Oryctolagus cuniculus: one gene and its partner. The protein of the gene in region 1 purifies or fractionates together with the protein of each later gene. This does not show direct contact. Links are inferred from orthologs where the notes say so. Each region holds a gene or a part of one and is shown in the gene's direction. Other genes may lie near its edges. The genes, in order: CDK20 and FKBP8.

Region 1 (9,484 bases):
TAAGTGTCTCAGTTTTAATTTCTAACATGGTAACTGACAAATATAGGCCACACAAATTGATTTAGACACTATCCCTTGCCAGAGCTGTAACCTAAATTATGAAACATCTCGATCCTTTATTTTCCCAGTCCACTGAATGGGGATGATGTGAACCTCCCTGGGGTATGGATAAGATTAACTCAAAAGTGATGTTTTAAGTTTGTGGAAAAATAGGTACCCAATATACACACAGTTCCACTTCTTGCGTCACCCCAGGGACCAGAGCACCCTAAAGAGCCACATCTACACTTTACCTGGATTTGAGGCTCAGGAATCTGTGTCAATATGGCCAATTCTCTTCGGACAGTAATACCAGGATACTGGTCCTTTTCAAAGGCTCCAATAAGAATCTTGCATTGATCTTGATCAAACTTGGTCCTCCTGCACCTCTGGCCTCTGAGTGCTGGGACAGCCACAGTGTAAGAGAAAACACTCAAGAGGGGCCCAAGCAATTTCTTCTCCTAAGCTCAATGTAGGACCTGCAGCCTCCCAATGAGGGAGGAATCTGCAGCCCAGTGAGAAAGCTCAGGCCACTTTGCAGGGGTCTTGCCACGCTGCTGGAGACCTCTGCATAAACCCAAGGAAGAGCCCTAGAGTCTGCCCAGACTGTCTCCTTACCACACTATTGTGAGTTCCATGCATATCATAAATATATCACAAAGTCAGCATGCCTCACACAGGTTTGGGGACATCTGAAATGTGAATTGTGACCACAGCTTGTAGGCACTGATACTGATGTGTCAGTGACGGGCTGGCTATTCCAAGACACCTATTAACGTGCAGCCTGTTAACCTGTGGATTATGTCAAATCTATCAAGGCTTGTCCTTTGCTTGCCACCAAAATACAAATAGGAGGGTACTTCAAAAAGTTTGTGGAGGGGCTTGGATGTGGCACAGTAGGTTAAGCCACCTTTTACAAGGGCCTACATCCCATATAAGCGCTAATTCAAGTCACAGCTGCTCCTTTTCCAATCTAGCTCCCTGCTAATGCACCTAGGAAAGCAGCAGATGATGGCCAAAGTACTTGGACTCCTGTTACACTTTTGGGAGACCTGGATAGCATTCTGGGCTGCTGGCTTCTGCTGGCCCAGCCCCTCTCATTGCAGACATTCGGAGAGTGAGCCAGGGATGGAAGATGTCTTTCTCTTGCTCTCTCTCTCTTCTCTTCTCTATGTCACTCTGCCTTTCAAATAAATTAATCAAATCTTTTTTTTAAAAAAAGTTTGTGGAAAAATGGAATTAAAAGGTAAGTTTATTTTGGTTCTAAAAAATTTTGAAATCGATGCATAATGTTTTTACATGTGTATTTCATGACCTTTATGAAGACCCCTTTTTACATGGATTTCAAAAATTCTTTTGCACCAATATAAACTTGATTCTAATTTTTCCATGAGCTTTTCAGTGTCTTCATACTAAGAGAAACCAAAAACCAAAACCCAAGTAAGTTTCATGAGAGAAAAATCTGAAGTCAAAGAATTTCCACACATTAATGCTTGAATTTTCCCTTGTGAGCTGAGAAAGCCCCCAACCCTCGATTTTAGCGTGGCCCCCTAAGTCCATCGGAGTTGGTTAGACTCCCCATTGACTTGGGAGTAAGCTCAAAACAGAATTTAGTATGAGGAAGAAAACAGACAAAATACAAGATCTAGGCAAAACTCTAGCCTCTGCCCAGGCTGACCTCCTGCTCTTCACAGCCATTCAGAGCCCCCAGGAGCATTTTCCCTTTTCTGGGCGACTGCATTGAAACGCTCCCATCACTCATGCCCTCTTCCTCCTCCCGAATGTCTGCAAGGTGGCTTCCAGGTTCCCCTTGGTCTTTTAGCCTATATGTGTTAAGCTGAGTAAAGTAAGCTTGAAGGCAGCCACACCAGGTGGGACGTGCTGCCTACAACACATTATCAAAGAGAGGCGTCTGGGATCCCCAGCTCCTCCCACTGCCCACCCCAGAAAGGAGCCTGCAGTCCTTGGAAGGAACTCACGGTCTGAAGCCGTGGTTAGCAGAGAGCTTGCCCACGGGAGTGGGAACAGATGGTGGGAGACCTGGAGGAAGCTCCTGGCTCCTGGTTTCGGACCGGCCTAGCTCTGGCCATTGTGACTGACCATTTGGGTAGTGAACCAGCTACTATTTTTGACTTACATTTTAAAAACCAGAATATATATTTTTCTGCAAAGGGAAATGAATTCATATGTTACATATGTCCTCATATTTTTAAAGCATTATAAATACACAGAAAAGTGCCAAGTCATAAGTTTGTCACTGCTGCCAGATTCTCAAACCCCCTCATGCCCTTTCCAGACACTTCCTGAGGCTTACTGTGTTTCTGTTTTCTTACACCGAAGATTAATTTTTTTATATATAAATAATACAATATACATTCTTTTTGCCCAGTTTCTCCACTCATTATTGTGTTTTCAGATTTATCTATGTTGTCGGCAGTAGTGACACTTCATTCATTCTTATTTCTGTTTAAAACTCCATCAGGTAAGCACTGCACAATTTATTCATTCTTTGTGGACTGTTTCCAGGTTTGTGTTATTTAAAAGAGCCCTATGCTATACAAGAATTCTTGTGTGTCTCTGGTGAACATACACTTTGGTCAACATTGCATCACGTATACTATGGTGGTTTCACAAGTTGATAGTAATGTCATAGCCATCTTAGTTTGTGTAAGTAAATTCTATGATGATGTTCACATAATGACAAAATCATCTAAATATGCATTTCTCAGAATTTATCCCATCACTAAGCAACACTTGACTGTATATATGAATACTTTTCTTCTTCCTCTTCCTCCTCCCCCTCCTTTTCTTCTTCTTTATACAGTCTGTCAAGTTAAAATCTCAGGAGTAGAACTAGGCCATAGGGTGCATTTATATATGTATATATGCTAATATACACACATACATACATATAATAGTACTTCAAAATTTCATGGAAAAATTCCTATTATGAAAAACTATACATGGATTTAAATTAAAAAAAAATTTATTTAAAAGACAGAGTTACAGAGTGAGAGGGAGATCTTTCATCTGTTAGTTCACTCCCCAAATTTGGCCACAATGGCCAGGGCTAGGCCATGACAAAGCCAGGAGCCTGGAATTGCATCCCGGTCTCCCACACTGGTGGCAGGGACCCAGGCACTTGGGGCATCTTCTGCTGTTTTCCCAGATATATTTAGCAGGGAACTGGATAGGAAGTGGAGTGGCTGGGACAAAAACCAGCACTCATATGGGATGCCAGCATCACAGGTGGCAGCTTAACCCGCTATGTCACAATGCTGGCCCATACTGCTTGTTTTCTAAGAGTTCCTTACAAATTCTTTGTCAGATATATGGTTACAGTTTTCTTCTTCTTCACCATCGCTTTCCTGCTCACATTCTAATGGCATATTTTGATGAATAAATGTTCTCACTATACAGGGCCAGTGCTGTGGGTTACGCCCCAGCCTGCAATGCCATGTCCCAGCTGCTGCACTTCCAATCCAACATGGGAAACCTTGGAAGAGGCCCAAGTGCTTGGGCCCCTGCACTCATATGGGAGACCTGGATGAAGCTCCTGGCTCCAGGCTTCTGTCTGGCCCAGCCCCGGCTATTTTGCAGCCATTTGAGGGGAATGGACCAGTAGATGGAAGATCTCTCTCCGTCTTTGTGTCTCCTTCTCTCTCTCTGTAACTCTGCCTTTCAAATAAAAAAATAATAAAATGAATCTTTAAAAAAATGTTCTGACTATTGATGAAGTCCAATTTCCCTTATAGTGTTTCACTTCCCTTATAGTGTTTCTGGTAACTTAAGAAACTCCATCTACCTAATCCAAAGCATATAAGTAAGATGCTGTTTTCTTCAAAAAGCTTCATTATTTACCTTTCCTGTTTAGCTCTGCAGTCCATCTGGAGTTGGTTTTGGCTTTGCGATGGTATGAAATCTGGATCAATATCCAGCCCCGGCCCCATGTTATTTTCTGAAAACCATCCTTTTCCCATTCTACTACCGTATCTATCTTCATAATTAAAATATTTTTAAAAAAGTTTATTTATTTCAGAGGCAGAGAGAGAAGAGAGTGAGAGTGAGCGAGCGAGAGATCTTCCACCTCCTTACTCCCCAAATGCCTGCAAGAGGGGGCTACACCAGGTGGAAGCCAGGAGCTCCCATCTCAGTGTGAGTCTCCCAGGTGGGTGGCAGGGGCCCAAGTACTCGAGCCATTAACTGCTGCCTCCCACAGTGCACATTAGCAGGAAGCTGGAAGCGGGAGCAGAGCCGGGACTCGAACCCAGGCACTTTGACATGGGATGCAGGCATGCCGCGTGATTTCTTAACTGCTGCACTAAATGCACACCCCAATTCATATTCTTTCTTGCTTTTGTTATGCAGTCGGTGGCACTCTATTTATCAGGTCCTGCAGCCTGCCGCCTTTACTTAACAATTTTAGCAACTTCCCATCCCTGTACATAAAAAAAAAAAAAATTTCACTCATCTGTAAACCCACATTATATTGCATTGGCGAGGTGGGAAACCGTGGATGCATTTTGCATTTGTCTTACTGTGTGTAATAAGGTTGAGCGTCTTTCCATAGAGGCGTCTTGTGTTTTCGGTCCTTTCAGGGTCAGAGTCCGCCCTCTGAAAGGTATGAGTTCACGGCGCTGATGGACCATGGTCCAGACAGGAAGCGCTCACCTCCCCACGCCGCAGGCCTAGCCCGCCTGCCGTCACCACGGGCAGAAAGACATGCCTGTGGCGGAGACCCGCAACACGCGTGCTACAGGCCGGTAGCCTCCGGCGTGCGGGGTGAGACACCCACCCCGCCCCCTCGCCTGGCGGCCCCGCCCCTCCTCGCAGCCCCGCCCCCGCCCCGTCACGTGACGCGGGGCCGGCGGCCATTGCTCCGCGGCCTGGCGCTGGGCAGTTCTCCGGGCTTGGGTGACCTAATGCGGGGTTAAGCCGCCCTGCTGCGGGACAGCGGAGAGAAAGGAAAGACAGTCGGGCCTAGGACGGAGAGCGTCCCTGACTGGGGCCGCCTAGGTCCCCGGTGGCAGGCTCGGGGGCCCGCCGCGGTGTTGCTAGGCGACCGCGTCGGGCTCTGAGCGGCTGGCCGGGCTGGGAGCCTGGGCGCCCATGGACCAGTACTGCATCCTGGGCCGCATCGGCGAGGGCGCCCATGGCATCGTCTTCAAGGCCAAGCACGTGGAGGTGAGAACGGGTGCCCCCCTGCTCGGATCGCGTCGGGGGGCGGTGCCCGGCCTGTGTTCGGACAGGTTGTGGGCGCGGCGCCCGCGCCACCCGTCCTCTGGCCCCGGCTTGAGCCCCGGCGTGGCTCCCGTTTACCCGGCTAACGAAGCCTCCCCCTCTCACACCTGTCTCTCGCCCTGCCTGCCTCCGTCCCGGGGTCGGGCTGGCAGTGTCCGCGCTCTTTCCTGTGCAGACTGGCGAGATCGTCGCCCTCAAGAAGGTGGCGCTGCGTCGGCTGGAGGATGGCATCCCCAACCAGGCGCTGCGGGAGATCAAGGCTCTGCAGGAGATCGAGGACAATCAGTATGTAAGTGGGGGCCCGGCCTGGCGGAGCGGGGCGTCGGGGCGTCGGCGGGCATCGCCTTCGCTTCCTGTCTCCCTCATCCCCACTCTCTCCTGCCTTCACTCACTCACCCCTTCAAACGCCTCCAGGATTCCCTCTGTGCGCTCCTCACTCCGCCCTTTCGTCTGCCTCCTCCGTATCCCTTAGTTAGGCCGTTTGTGTCTGCTTGTTCACCCTCGTTCATCCAATTCCTCACTCATTTACTTTCTGGTTTAGCACCTAGTTCTTTATGATCTCATTTTCTTATTCTCCTTCTCGAAGCATTTAGTGATTTCTGATGGGGATAGAAAGCGCTCGCTGAGCTCATGTGTCCTGCAGGCTGTGCCGAGGGCTTGACACCACTGTGGTCCGGAGCCCTCTGCCCCTGTGCGTGGTGTGTTTCAGAATGTGTTTCTCAGGCAGTGGGAGGAGGTTAGGTCACCTGCTCTTAGGCCCGCAGCTGCTCAGTGGAGTCCAGACATTCAGCCCTTGTGGCCTCCTGTATGTAGCAGGCTCTTTCCTGGGTTTGTTCTGATGGTTCAGAGAGGAGCTGGCCCAACCCAGCTCCTAGGAACTTAAGTGTGGTGTCGGGGGTGACGGGATCCGTCTGATGCGGTTTGTGCTGTGACAAGTTGCCAGGAAGAGTTATGGCAGTGAGAGGGACCTCTCACACCCCCAGCGTCATTACTCTCTATGGTCCTCTCTTAATCTATGTTGGAGTACAGAGCTGGTCTCCTGCCAAGTGACAGAGTCTCTGTGGTCGCGTGACTTGTGTTCATTGTCTTCTGGAGATGTCCATGATACACTGGGCGATAAAAGGATGTTCTAAAGCTTTCTGTGTCATCCTTGTTTTGTATGAAAACACTTACCTGTGTGTATATGTGTGTGCCTACCTACTGTAAAGTCTGGTAGAGTGTACTCCAAGATGGACTACAGGTACTTGAGTTTTTCTTTCCCTTATAATTTTGTGTACTGTCTGTGTGCATGTGTTTTGATCTGTGAAATGAATATGTACTACCAGAAAAGCAGCAATACAGCCATTCTAATTTTTCAGGCAAAACAAAAGAACTTGCAGACAGCTGATTTTGGGAGAGAGAGCTCCATAAGGAGGGCAGTGATGTGGTCCCTGTGTCCAGTGGTCAGCATTCCTGAAGGTTCTTTAAAACATGCTCTGGATTGGTTCCTGGCCTGGATCACCCTCACCACTCACCAGAAAGATTGCACCAACCTGTAGATTGCTCCCCAGGCTAGAGTTCAGAGGGTTCTGTCCAGAATGGAAATTGAATCGTCCTCTCCCCGCTTAGAGAACCCCAGGGGCTTCTCTTCACATTTGGGGCACAGTCGCTTTGTGCCCATCTCCAGCCACTGTCCCTGTCCAGTCCTATCCTAGAGCTTCCTAGGCACAGAGCGGAGCAGACCCATTTCTTCCCCCAGACCACCTCCAGTGTCCATGTCCCTCCCCCTCCTGCGCCCACTGAGGTCTTGCACCTGGTGTCCCACTGCCCACTGCTTTTTCCCAGTTCTCTGCGTAACTGGCTCCCTGAGGAGCCCCTCCCTGCCCCTGCCCCATGTAAATAAGGAATCCTTTTCTCCAGTTGAAGAATTACACCACCTTAGTATACAAGAAGTCTTCAGAGAGTTCTTGAAAAGGTACATGTTGTGAAAAAACTAGATTTCAAACATTTTTTGTACTAAACTTTTTAAAATTCTATTTCCCACAGACTTTTGGGAATTACCTTCATATGTCTGTCTTGTGTGTATCAGCCCTGAACATATCCCTTTGTTTATTTATCAACCGCTTAGCACACTTGGCACCCTTGGCACTTTGTTAGTCCTGTCTTCTGATTCCCTGGACTCACTGGTAGCCTCAGGGCGTGTGATGTGTCTTTAGCTCTCCCAGCACTGGGCAGGTGTGAATCTTGGCACCCTGCCCTTGGTGCTTGCATTTAATGGCTGCCAAGGAAACAGGAAGAACTCTGCTTGTGCCGTGTGTATGTCCAGGTGGGTGGGTGGGGATGCTGCCCATCAAGTAACCTTCTACAGACCTTTTCCCTGGGTGTCCCAGGAGCATGGGGTTCCCTGAGTGTCCCAGGAGCATGGGGTGGGGACCTGTGTTGGCTCAGGAGGGCAGAGCAGCATGAGCGCTAAGCATCCTGGTTCTGAGGTCAGGTCACGTGTTGCCATCTCTGCCCGCAGAGGGGGTTTACAGGATGCCTGCCCACAGGTGGTGCAGCTGAAGGCCGTGTTCCCGCATGGTGCAGGCTTCGTGCTGGCCTTTGAGTTCATGCTGTCGGATCTGGCCGAGGTGGTGCGCCATGCCCAGAGGCCGCTGGCCCCTGCACAAGTCAAGAGCTATCTGCAGATGCTGCTCAAGGGCGTCGCCTTCTGCCATGCCAACAACATCGTGCATCGGGTCAGTCCCAGCATGGGCCGGGGTGGGCTAGTCCTTATAAAGCTGTGGTCAGAAGGGGACAGAGGGTCCCAGGGCCTTCAGGTGAGCATCAAGGGTCTGAGCTGACCTAGGCCCTCATCCCCAGGCATTAAGAGACTGGTGCCTCCTTTTATACCCCCAGGACCTGAAACCTGCTAACCTGCTCATCAGTGCCTCAGGCCAGCTCAAGATTGCAGACTTTGGGCTGGCCCGGGTCTTTTCTCCAGATGGCAGCCGCCTCTACACACACCAGGTGGCCACCAGGTAGGGGCAGCAGATCCCCTGCCCTCCCTTGGGGGAAGAGATGCTCTGGTTTCCTTGCCCGACATTGCTTGTGGGTTCAGGTGGGGCTTGGGTGACCTAGGACAGCCTCCCATCTGACTGGTGGCCTGGCTCTGACCTCCAGCTCTCTTCCTCCCAGGTGGTACCGAGCACCGGAGCTCCTGTATGGTGCCCGCCAGTATGACCAGGGTGTTGACCTGTGGTGAGACTCCCATGCCAGGCAAGGGGCACCGTGGTCGTAGCCTCCTGCCAGGCTCTGGTGTCCTCTCCGTTGTGAGCTCCAGATTGCCTGGCAGGACTGGGATCTGCCCTCATTAGGGTTTTGGAGCAGCCTGGGGTTGGGAGGGAGGAAAGTGGTTGTCCCAGAGGGCAGCCTCTTGTCTGGCTGGTGTGTGTAGGACTAAGACCCAAGCATGTGACCTTGCCCATCTAGTCCAATGCCTGTGTCCCAGGGTGTGAAGTCCCTGAGCCTTCTTGGGGAGCAGATGGTGGTGGTACCCCGGCATCTGAGATTCAGAGCTGTTTTGTAGATTTGCTGTGGAAAGAGGAGTGTGTGTGTGTGTGTGTGTGTGTGTCCCAGAGCATGAGGCTCTGAGAGGTCTCAGGGCTGTTGGGGTTTGCTTTGTGTTCTAGGGTTGAGGTTCTTGATTGGGAGTCTGCACCTGTGGACATGAAGCCCTGGTGTGCAGTGCTGGAGCTGGTCTGGAGGTCTGTCCCATGGCGTGAGATCTGCTCGGTGTTCTGTATCCGCAGGGCTGTAGGCTGCATCATGGGGGAGCTGTTGAACGGGTCCCCTCTCTTCCCGGGTGAGAACGACATTGAACAGCTTTGCTGTGTGCTTCGCATCTTGGGCACCCCCAGCCCTCAAGTCTGGCCGGTTTGTAGGGGCCCCTGGTGGGGAGGGTTTGGGGGCAGATTTGCTCCAGTCCACAACAGCAAGTAACTGCTCCCTGCCCTGCACCTTCTCTCTCATGACCCCAGCCTCCCTTGACCAACAGGGACCACTGTCTAGGCCCAGTGCCAGGGTCCCCCCTCCTGTCCTGCCCACCTGGCATACACAGCACCTCAGCAAGCTGGGCCTGGGGCAGATGCCCAGGAGGGTCAGGGAGCGTGAGTGGATGATGGGGGGGCCGGGTGGATGAGAGAGCAGACAGCGAGGCCCTGAGACCTGGTACTGAGCAGTGAGG
Region 2 (8,970 bases), on another chromosome or scaffold:
GTGTGCAGGCTGCCGCAGGGGGCCCTGCCAGAGGCCGGGGCACGTTTCTGGGAGCCCCAGACGGGTAGGGACAGAGGGACTTGGGGGCCCCGAGGACTGGAGACGAAATGTCCTGGTGTCCTGTGTGTTTACGGGAGAGGGTGGTGAGCGCAGGGCCGCCCCGTCCAGCAGGAGAGACCCATGGGAGGGCACTCGCAGCCCCCTCCTCCGCCCTGTTTTGGTTGCGTTTGCTCCACGCGTGTCCCCGGGTGGGCTCAGCCACTGGCCACCCTGGCCAGGGAGGGGACCTGGCCCACGTTGCCCTCCATGGCCGCGACCTTGAACAAGCTACGCCATGCCTCCGTTTCCCTGGCCATACAGGAAGCTCTCGGGAGTCGTACCAGATACCCCCATTCGTCCCTAAAGAAGGCCAACGTGGTGCCAGCATCCCATGTAGGCACGGGTTCGAGTCCCGGCTGCTCCACTTCCCATCCAGCTCTGCTGTGGCCTGGGAAAGCAGTGGAGGACGGCCCAGGTCCTTGGGCCCCTGCACCCGTGTGGGAGACCCGGATGGAGCTCCTGGCTCCTGGCTTTGGCCTGGCTCAGCTCTGGCCGTCTGTCAAGTGAACCAGTGATTGGAAGATCGATCGATCCCTCTCTCACTCTGCCTTTCAAATAACTAAATCTTAGGAAACAGGAACACAGAGTGGTGAAGGTTTATATCCAAATGTGTCCAAAATTACATCAACTGTAAATAGATCAAATACTGGCGGTAAAAGGCAGGGACGGGCCGGCATCAAGGCCGGTGCCCACGATGCCCACGCCCACCGGGGAGCTCCTGGGTCTGATTCCTGGCCCCGGCCCTGCCTGCGCAGACCCCAGGGGTGGCAGTGAGGATGCAGGGTGACTGGGTCCCCCCGGCCGCCCAGCACACGCGGGAGCCTCACCTGAGCACCCAGCTCTTGGTTTAAGCCCCAGCCACTGTGGGCGTCTGGGGCTGAATCTCTCTCCCTCTCCGTCTTCCTCCCTCCCTCTCTCTCTCTCTCTCTCTCCCTCTCTCTGCCTTTCAAGTAAGTGACCAAGTACAAGCCAAAGGCGAGACCGGCGTGCAGAGTCCACGCTCGAGATTAGGGGAGCACAGGACGGCGGCCAGTTCCCTCCCGGGGGGACCTGACCCTCGGACTCTGTGTGAGGCCCAGGAAGCATTCCACCAGGGTCTGCCTGTGCCTGGCAGGGGACCAAGCACTCGGGCTGTCGGCCACCGCTTTCCCAGAACATTAGCAGGGAGCTGGATCCGAAGTGGAGCAGCTGGGACTCGAACCGGTGCCCCATGGGATGCCGGCACCACAGGCTGCAGCTTTACTGGCTACGCCACAGCGCCGGCCCCTGGCCTAGGGTTTGTGTGATGCCCCTGCCTTGGTGACTTCTCACGGCCCCCTGCTGGTTCTGTATGGCCTGCCTTTCGCAGCGACTTCCCTGGGTGCCCGGGACCTCGTGCCTGGCAGGTGCTCAGGCCTCAGGGCTGGGGGAGTGGGGGCTGGGATCCCGCAGCAGGTGTGCGGTGGGCCAGGCAGAGGTGAACTAACCGGGGCAGGCGTTCTTGGGAAGCATGTGTCCTGGGTTCGAATCCTGGCTCCTCCCCTTCCGATCCAGCCCTCTGCCGCTGGGCGCCCAGCCGCCCACGTGGGAGACCCGGATGCAGCTCCGGCCTCTGGGTTTTAGCTCGGGCCAGACTTGGCTGTTGTAAGTACTTGGGGAGTGACCCAGGTGGAAGATCTCTCTCTCTCTCTCTCTCTCTTTCTTTCTCTCTCTCTCTGCCTTTCAAATAATTCGACAAAGCGGCTAGATGTTGTAAACCACCAGGCTAACCTGGTCTTGCCGTGGGGGTGGTCAGGGAGGGCTCCCTGGAGGAAGCTGACTGGGATCTCATTCATTTATTCACTGCATTCATTTGTTCAACTATTGAATCACTGCATTGCCTCGCAACCGCGTCACCCATCGGGGAGGCGCTGGGTGCAAAACAGGAAAAAAGAAAAATAAACTCCCCGCCAGGACAGAGCGAAGTGGGGGTTGGGGATGTGGGAGCGCACCTCTAAGCCAAGGAACGCGCAGATCTTTCTGGAAAGGGGCGGCTGCCCAGGAGGAAGTGAACCTGCGAGGGAGGAGCCAGTGCCCCGGCTTCAAAACAAGCGGAGAAACTCTGTCCGGCCTGGCCGCGCGCGCGCCCCCTCGCCCTGTGTCCGAGCGAGCGTGCAGCAGGGACCTCTCTGGGGCCCCTGCGCGCTCAGCTGCCCGCCCACCCAGCCGTTATTGAGCGCCTTCTGCATGCATCAGGGAACCCTCCAGGAAGACAGAGACCCCGCGGGGTGGGGGGAACGCGGTGTCCTTGGGCACATTGCCCCCGACCCCCCACCCCGGCGCCTCGCAGAGCTGGGGCCTCGGGGTGGGCTCCCCGGACCCAGCCGGCGCTTCCTAAGGCCCCTCCCCGCGGCCCCCCGAGAGTGCGAGCGTGGCGGGGGGTTTATCCCCATTCAGCAGACGAAAGCTCAGACCCGAGCCGGGAGCGGCGCCGGGCGGTGCGGCGCGGACCCGCGGTCGAAGTCCATCCCAGAGGCCCCCCGCCCCCGCCCTGAGCGGCCGGGAGGCGTCGGCCCCTTTAAGAACGCCCCGCGGAGCCAAGCAGGAAGGGGGCGGTGCCCGCGCCCGAGACGGACGTGCGCGCAAGCCAATACGCGCGGCAGTGGCGGCGGCGGCGGCCAATGAGCACAGCGGGGGTGGGGCCCGGCGCCCGAACCTGGTTCCCGAGGCGCGGCGGCCGCGGCTGGGGGCGGGGAGGGGGGCGCAGGACCCCAGGCGGGGGTCCCGGAGCCGGAGGCACGTGTCCCGGGGCGCCGGCGGGGTCGCGCTGGCCGGGGCCACCGTTCGGGCCTCGGCGGGTTCCGGGGCTCGGCGCGGCGGGGGCCGCGGCCGATGGGCGGGGCGAGGGGCCGCGGGGGAGGCGAGCGCGGGGCGCGGGGGTCGGGGGTGCCTTAGGGGGGCTCGGCCTGCTGGGAGCGACGGGGCTGGCGGCCCGAGGGAGCGAGGGAGAGCCCGCGGGGGGCGCTGCCGATCGCTGCGTGCAGGGCCGGGGGTGCTCGCGGGGGTCGGGGGGCTCTGAACTGGTGGCGTCAGACGGGCGTGGGGCGCTGGGGGCGTCCCGGGGGCGGAGGGTGCTGAGGGTCGGGAGGGGAGCGGCAGGGGACGCCGGGGCGACCGAGCGGCCGTGGGGGGGGCTGGCCCGGCTGGGGGCGGGGGGCATTCGTGCGTTCGCAGGGGGTTGTGGGGGGCCCGAGCCCCGGAAGCGGCGGGCAGGTGAGGGTTAGGGAGGCGGTACTGCGGGTTCCTGGGCGCTTGGGGCCTGAGGGAGCCTGGGGGTCGCTAGGGCTAGGGGCTCCCAGCAGGCCTGGGCAGGGAAAAAACTAGGAACAAGCCAGGGCCAGGCCGGGCGGGTGGGGTGGGGTGGGGGTCTCTCCCTCGAAGGCTGCTTGGTGGGGGGCCCAAGGGGGCCTGATGGAAGTGGGTTAGCGCCAGGGTCCCCGAAATAGGAGTTGGGGGTCAGGATTAGCTGAGGGTGAGGAAGGAGAAGGCTGGGGCGGGGGTGTGGGTGGTGGTGTCCATGTCTGTCGGAGGAGCTGGCTCCCCTGGGGAGAAGGGGCAGGTGGAGGTGGGCAGGCCCTGGCTGGAATCCATTCCCCACATAGCCTGGGAGCCCTAAAGATGGCTTCCCTGAGGCCTGGGGGTGCTCCGTCGCCCCCAGCACCCGCCCTTGGCATGCAGTCCCAGAAAGCCCCCAGGGTCTGTCCCTGCCCTGCGATTGCTCCGTGTGACCTTGGACCCCTACCTTTGCCCCGCTGGGTCTGTTTTCTAATCTGCAGAATGGGTGGGGGGGCTGTGTGTGGAGAGGGACGGTTCCTACTTGCTGAGATGTTTATAAAAATTAAATAATCATTAGCTCTAATAATAGCTAACACTCTCAGCCTCATGCCTGGCGTTTGAGGCGTGGGTTGTTTTGAATTCCCTTCCGGGTTGTTGTACCCACTGTACGGATGAGAGGACTGAGGCCCGGGAGTTCCCGAGTCCCCCTGCTAGTGGTCAGCCCTGGGTGTGTGTGGGGAGGGGTGGGACAGAGGAGACTCCGGGGGGCTTACCTCCCTCCTGTCCGTCCCCCCTGTCCCCAGGGCCAGTTCCCGTGCCCCCAGCACCATGGCTTCCTGCGCCGAGCCCTCGGAGCCCAGGGCCCCGCCGCCGGCTGGGGTCCCGCCGCTGGAGGACTTTGAGGTGCTGGACGGGGTGGAGGAGGCCGAAGCGGAGGAGGAGGAGGAGGAGGACGATGACCTGAGCGAGCTGCCGCCACTTGAGGACATGGCACAGCCCCCGCCGGACAAGGCCGAGGAGCAGCCGGGGGCCCTGGCCCGGGAGTTCCTGGCTGCCATGGAGCCGGAGCCCGCCCCGGCGCCGGCCCCCGAGGAGTGGCTGGACATCCTGGGTAAGGAGCGGCGGGGTCTGGGGCTGACCTTGGTGACAGCCGCGTGACAATTGCTGAAGTCCACTCCTGGCGCTCTCGCTCTCTCTCTCTCTCTCTCTCACACACACACACACACAGAGCTGCCAAGAGGCCCAGGGAGGCTGAGTCACCTGCCCGGAGCCGCACAGCAGCCCGGCGCCCGCAGCTCCCTGCCCCCACTGCATCTCTGCCCAGCCCTCGGGTGACACTGAGGTCGGGTTGTGCAGTTGAGCCGTGGGGTGGGGTGGGGGTGGGTGGTGGGAGCTGCTCCATGCGGTCTTTGTGAACCGTTCTGAAGGCAGGGACCAGGTGAGCCCGCCCCCCCATCCCGGGACTCATTAGTATTCCGTGGAGGGCGTGGGTGTCTCCCTACCGAGCAGTGCGGTGCCCACGCGGGTGCGGGGCCGACAGCGACACCCCAGCCACGGCACCAAGGAGCAGAAATGCCACCACCCGCACCGCCACTCATCCGAATCCCCGCTACCTCTAAAAATAACCCCAGGGAGTACTGAGGCTGGCCTGGCCTGCACGCCTTTTTTTTTTTTTTTTTAAGATTATTTATTTGAATGAGACAGAGAGGCCATCCGTCCACTGGTTTACTCTCCAATGCCAGCAGCAGCCGGGGCTGGGCCGGTCTCCTGCAGCCGGGAGCCAGGAGCTCCATCCCGGGGCTCCCACGTGGGTGGCAGGGACTCGAGTCCTTGAGCCGTCACTGCCGTCTCCCAGGGTGCGCGTGCGCAGGGGGCTGGCTCTGGACGCAGGGCTGCTAGGACTGGAACCAGGCGCTCCGATACGGGGGTGCGGGCCCCGTGTCTGTGACCACCCCATCCCCATTTCACAGATGCTTGCCCGAGGTCACACAGCGCCCCCTGCCGGTGCCTGCGGATAGCTGCCGAGCTCCCGGTCCCCCGAGCTTGGCGCTGTTGGTTTATTGGTTTAGTTTGTGCCGGCGCTCCCCGAGGTCAGCACCTGGTGCCCGTGAGCCTCGAGATGTGGGGGTTCCCACACTGGACGTGGGGCCTGTAGGAAGTTGGGGAGCACCCCAGCAGTCTAGAAGGTTCTGGGATATGTGTCCCTAACCTGTAGGCTCGGTCCACTCAGGCTTGTGAAGTGTCCCGGAGCGCTGGGACATTCCAGAACACAGGGAAGTGTGTGGATGTGTGCAGCCACAGGCCGGGTCGGGCAGCCTTGCTGGGGCTTCGTACACACTTGGGAGGGCCCTGCGGGAGGTTTTGGGCTGCGGGTCCCGGCCCAGGCGGCTCGCCGTCCCCCTGCCTCTATGGCCTGCCCTGAGTGTGTGCGTGGGGCCACCGTGGGCGCTGAGCCACGTGGCCGTTCCCGCGGTGGTGTGGGGGCGGCTGCCAGCGCAGACACTGTTCCCTTTGAGGGGGGACCAGGGGCCGCCTTTGCCAAGTACTCTGGCTCTGTTTCTGTTTTTTTTAATATTTCATTTTTTGAGAGGTAGAGTTACAGTGAGAGAGAGAAAGGCAGAGAGAGAGAGAGAGGTCTTCCATCCGCTGGTTCACTCCCCAGATGGCCACAATGGCCGGAGCTGGGCCGATCTGAAGCCAGGAGCCGGGGGCTCCATCCGGGTCTCCCACGCAGGGGCAGGGGCTGTAGCACTTGGGCCAACACCCGCTCTTAGCCGGGGGCTGGGTCAGAAGCCGAGCAGCGGTGTCGCGGGCGGGCGGCGGCTTCACCCGCTGCGTCACCCCCTGCCAGCTGTCCCCGCCCTTCTCCCGCGCCGCCCTCTCCTGAGATGGGCCCGTGGGCGGCCCTGTCCCCCCGGAGCGCAGGCCCCGGGTGACGCCGTGTGTTCTCCGTCCGCCCCAGGGAACGGGCTGCTGAGGAAGAAGACCCTGGTCCCCGGGCCGCCCGGCTCGAGCCGGCCCTCCAAGGGCCAGGTGGTCACGGTGCAGCTGCAGACGTCGCTGGAGAACGGCACGCGCGTGCAGGAGGAGCCCGAGCTGGTGTTCACCCTGGGCGACTGCGACGTGATCCAGGTGGGCGGGGCAGGCGGAGGGCCGGGTGGGGTGAAGGGCGGAGCTGGGGCAGGGGAGGTGGGCGGTGCTGGGGGCAGAGGGCATGGCATGGCGGAGCTGGGGCAGCGGGCTGGGGGGGTGGAGGGTAGGGCGGGGGTATGGGCGGGGCGGAGGGTGGGGCTGGGTGCAGGCGGAGGAGCTCAGGGCAGAGGGTGTGGGCGGGGCAGATGGCCTGGTGGGGGTGGAGGGCAGGGTATGGGCAGAGCTGGGGCAGAGGGCGTGGTGTGGGTGGGTGGAGGGTGGGGCGTGGGCGGGGCAGAGGACGGTACAGAGGGCCAGGTAGGGCAGAGGGTGTGGCATGGCGGAGCTGGGAGGCTGAGGGCTGGGGGGGTGGAGGGTAGGGCGGGGTATGGGAGGAGCTGGGGCACAGGGCGTGTCGTGGGCGGGGCGGAGGGTGGGGCTGGGTGCAGGTGGAGCTCAGGGCAGAGGGCGTGGTGTGGGCGGGGCAGATGGCCAGGTGGGGTGGAGGGCAGGGCATGGGCGGAGCTCGGGGCAGAGGTGTGGGGCGTGGTGTGGGTGGAGCTCAGGGCAGAGGGCGTGGTGTGGGCGGGGCAGGTGGCCTGGTGGGGTGGAGGGCAGGGCATGGGCGGAGCTCGGGGCAGAGGGCGTGGTGTAGGCGAGTGGAGTGGGGGAGACATGGAGTGGAGCTCGGGACAGAGGGCGCAGTGTGGGCAGAGCTTGGGGCAGGGGGTGTGGGCAGATTTTGGGCGTGGGTGGATGGAGGGTGGGGCGGGGCATTGGCAGAGCTCTGGGGCAGAGGGCGTGGTGTGGGTGGAGCTCGGGTCAGAGGGCGTGGTGTGGGCGGGCAGAGGGTGGTGCAGAGGGGGCCAGGTGGGTGTGGGCGGAGCTTAGGACAGAGGGCATGGCATGGGTCGGTGGAGGGGGGCCTGGGGCCGCCTGACTCTCACTGGCTCCCCCCACCAGGCCCTGGACCTCAGCGTCCCGCTCATGGACGTGGGTGAGACGGCCATGGTCACTGCTGACTCCAAGTACTGCTACGGCCCGCAGGGCAGGTGAGCGCCCAGGGGACCCGGGCGGAGGGGAGGGAGGCTGGCGCCCGCTGCTTGCCATATTTACTTTTCTTTTAAGATTGATTTATTTATTTGCAAAGCTGAGTGACAGAGAGTAGGAGAGACAGAGAGATTTAGCTGCTGGTTCATTCCCCTAAGTGGTCCCAGTAGCCTCAAAGCCAGGAGCCAGGGGCTCCATCCAGGTCTCCCATGTGGGTGGTGGGGACCCAGGTAGCTGGGCCATCACCTGTTGCCTCCCAGGGTGCACATGCACAGGGAGCTGGCGCCAGGACTCGAACACAGGCTCTCTGATAGGAGACACAGGCGTGGCAGCCAGCAGCCTGTCTGCCCATTTTACGGAAGAGCAAGCTGAGGTCCAGAGAGGGCACTCACTGCACAAGTTACGCAGCAGGGGCCGGCAGGTGGGACTTCCGGGCTGTTTCCGAGGACGGGGCGGATGAAGACCCCACCCTGGTCCAGGCTGGGGCTCCCCGGGTCTGAGTGCCACCCCCGCCTGATCTGGGCTAGGGCTCCCCGGGTCTGAGAGCCACCCTGCCTGGTCCAGGCCAGGGCTCCCCGGGTCTGAGAGCCACCCTGCCTGGTCCAGGCCAGGGCTCCCCGGGTCTGAGAGCCACCCCTGCCTGGTCCGGCCGGGGCTGGGGCTCCCGGGTCTGAGTGCCACCCCTGCCTGGTCCAGCTGGGGCTGGGGCTCCCCGGGTCTGAGCCACCCCTGCCTCGTCCAGCCGGGGCTGGGGCTCCCCAGGTCTGAGAGCCACCCCTGCCTGGTCTGGCCGGGGCTGGGGCTCCCCGGGTCTGAGTGCCACCCCCGCCCGTCCCTACTTCCCCAGCAGGAGCCCCTACATCCCCCCGCACGCGGCCCTGTGCCTGGAGGTGACGCTGAAGACGGCGGTGGACGGGCCGGACCTGGAGATGCTCACGGGGCAGGAGCGCGTGGCCCTGGCCAACCGGAAGCGGGAGTGTGGCAACGCCCACTACCAGCGGGCGGACTTCGTGCTGGCCGCCAACTCGTACGACTTGGCCATCAAGGCCATCACCTCCAGCGCCAAAGGTGACCGCGGGCCAGATCCCGCCAGCCCCCCCCAACCCTGGGGCCAGGGCCAGACCAAATGAGTCCCCGGGGCCCCTCACGTTGGCCCACCCGTGTTAGAATATTCTGGAGTGTGGCCAGACCACAGCTGTGTCACTGACTCGAGGCTGGGAGCCGTGCTGTGGGGCCACGGGGTGGGCTGGGCAGTCCAGGGCCTAGGCTGTGGGGTGGGCTGGGGGGCCAGGGCCATGGGGTGTGCTGGGCGGTCCTCTGGGCTGGGGGCACGGCCGCGGGGTGTGCTGGGTGGTCCGGGGCCAGGTGGTCTGGGGCTGGGGTGGGGGGGAGGGT

The links.
Region 2: the proteins of CDK20 (region 1) and FKBP8 purify together in Homo sapiens (affinity purification with mass spectrometry; 5 studies listed by BioGRID and IntAct, with this or other methods). This does not show direct contact. The link is inferred for Oryctolagus cuniculus from reciprocal best matches to the Homo sapiens genes CDK20 and FKBP8.

What each region holds. Positions count from the first base shown.
Region 1 is NC_091432.1:137,157,058-137,166,541, reverse strand, and holds the start of CDK20 (cyclin-dependent kinase 20), read left to right. Parts: upstream 1-4,890; 5' UTR 4,891-5,148; coding exon 5,149-5,223; intron 5,224-5,455; coding exon 5,456-5,569; intron 5,570-7,780; coding exon of another isoform or gene 7,781-7,808; coding exon 7,809-7,997; intron 7,998-8,157; coding exon 8,158-8,279; intron 8,280-8,436; coding exon 8,437-8,499; intron 8,500-8,930; coding exon 8,931-9,174; intron 9,175-9,484. UniProt on the Homo sapiens protein: Required for high-level Shh responses in the developing neural tube.
Region 2 is NC_091447.1:65,697,132-65,706,101, reverse strand, and holds part of FKBP8 (peptidyl-prolyl cis-trans isomerase FKBP8), read left to right. Parts: intron 1-2,708; exon of another isoform or gene 2,709-2,853; intron 2,854-4,196; 5' UTR 4,197-4,221; coding exon 4,222-4,504; intron 4,505-6,355; coding exon 6,356-6,525; intron 6,526-7,488; coding exon 7,489-7,577; intron 7,578-8,422; coding exon 8,423-8,643; intron 8,644-8,970. UniProt on the Homo sapiens protein: Constitutively inactive PPiase, which becomes active when bound to calmodulin and calcium. Seems to act as a chaperone for BCL2, targets it to the mitochondria and modulates its phosphorylation state.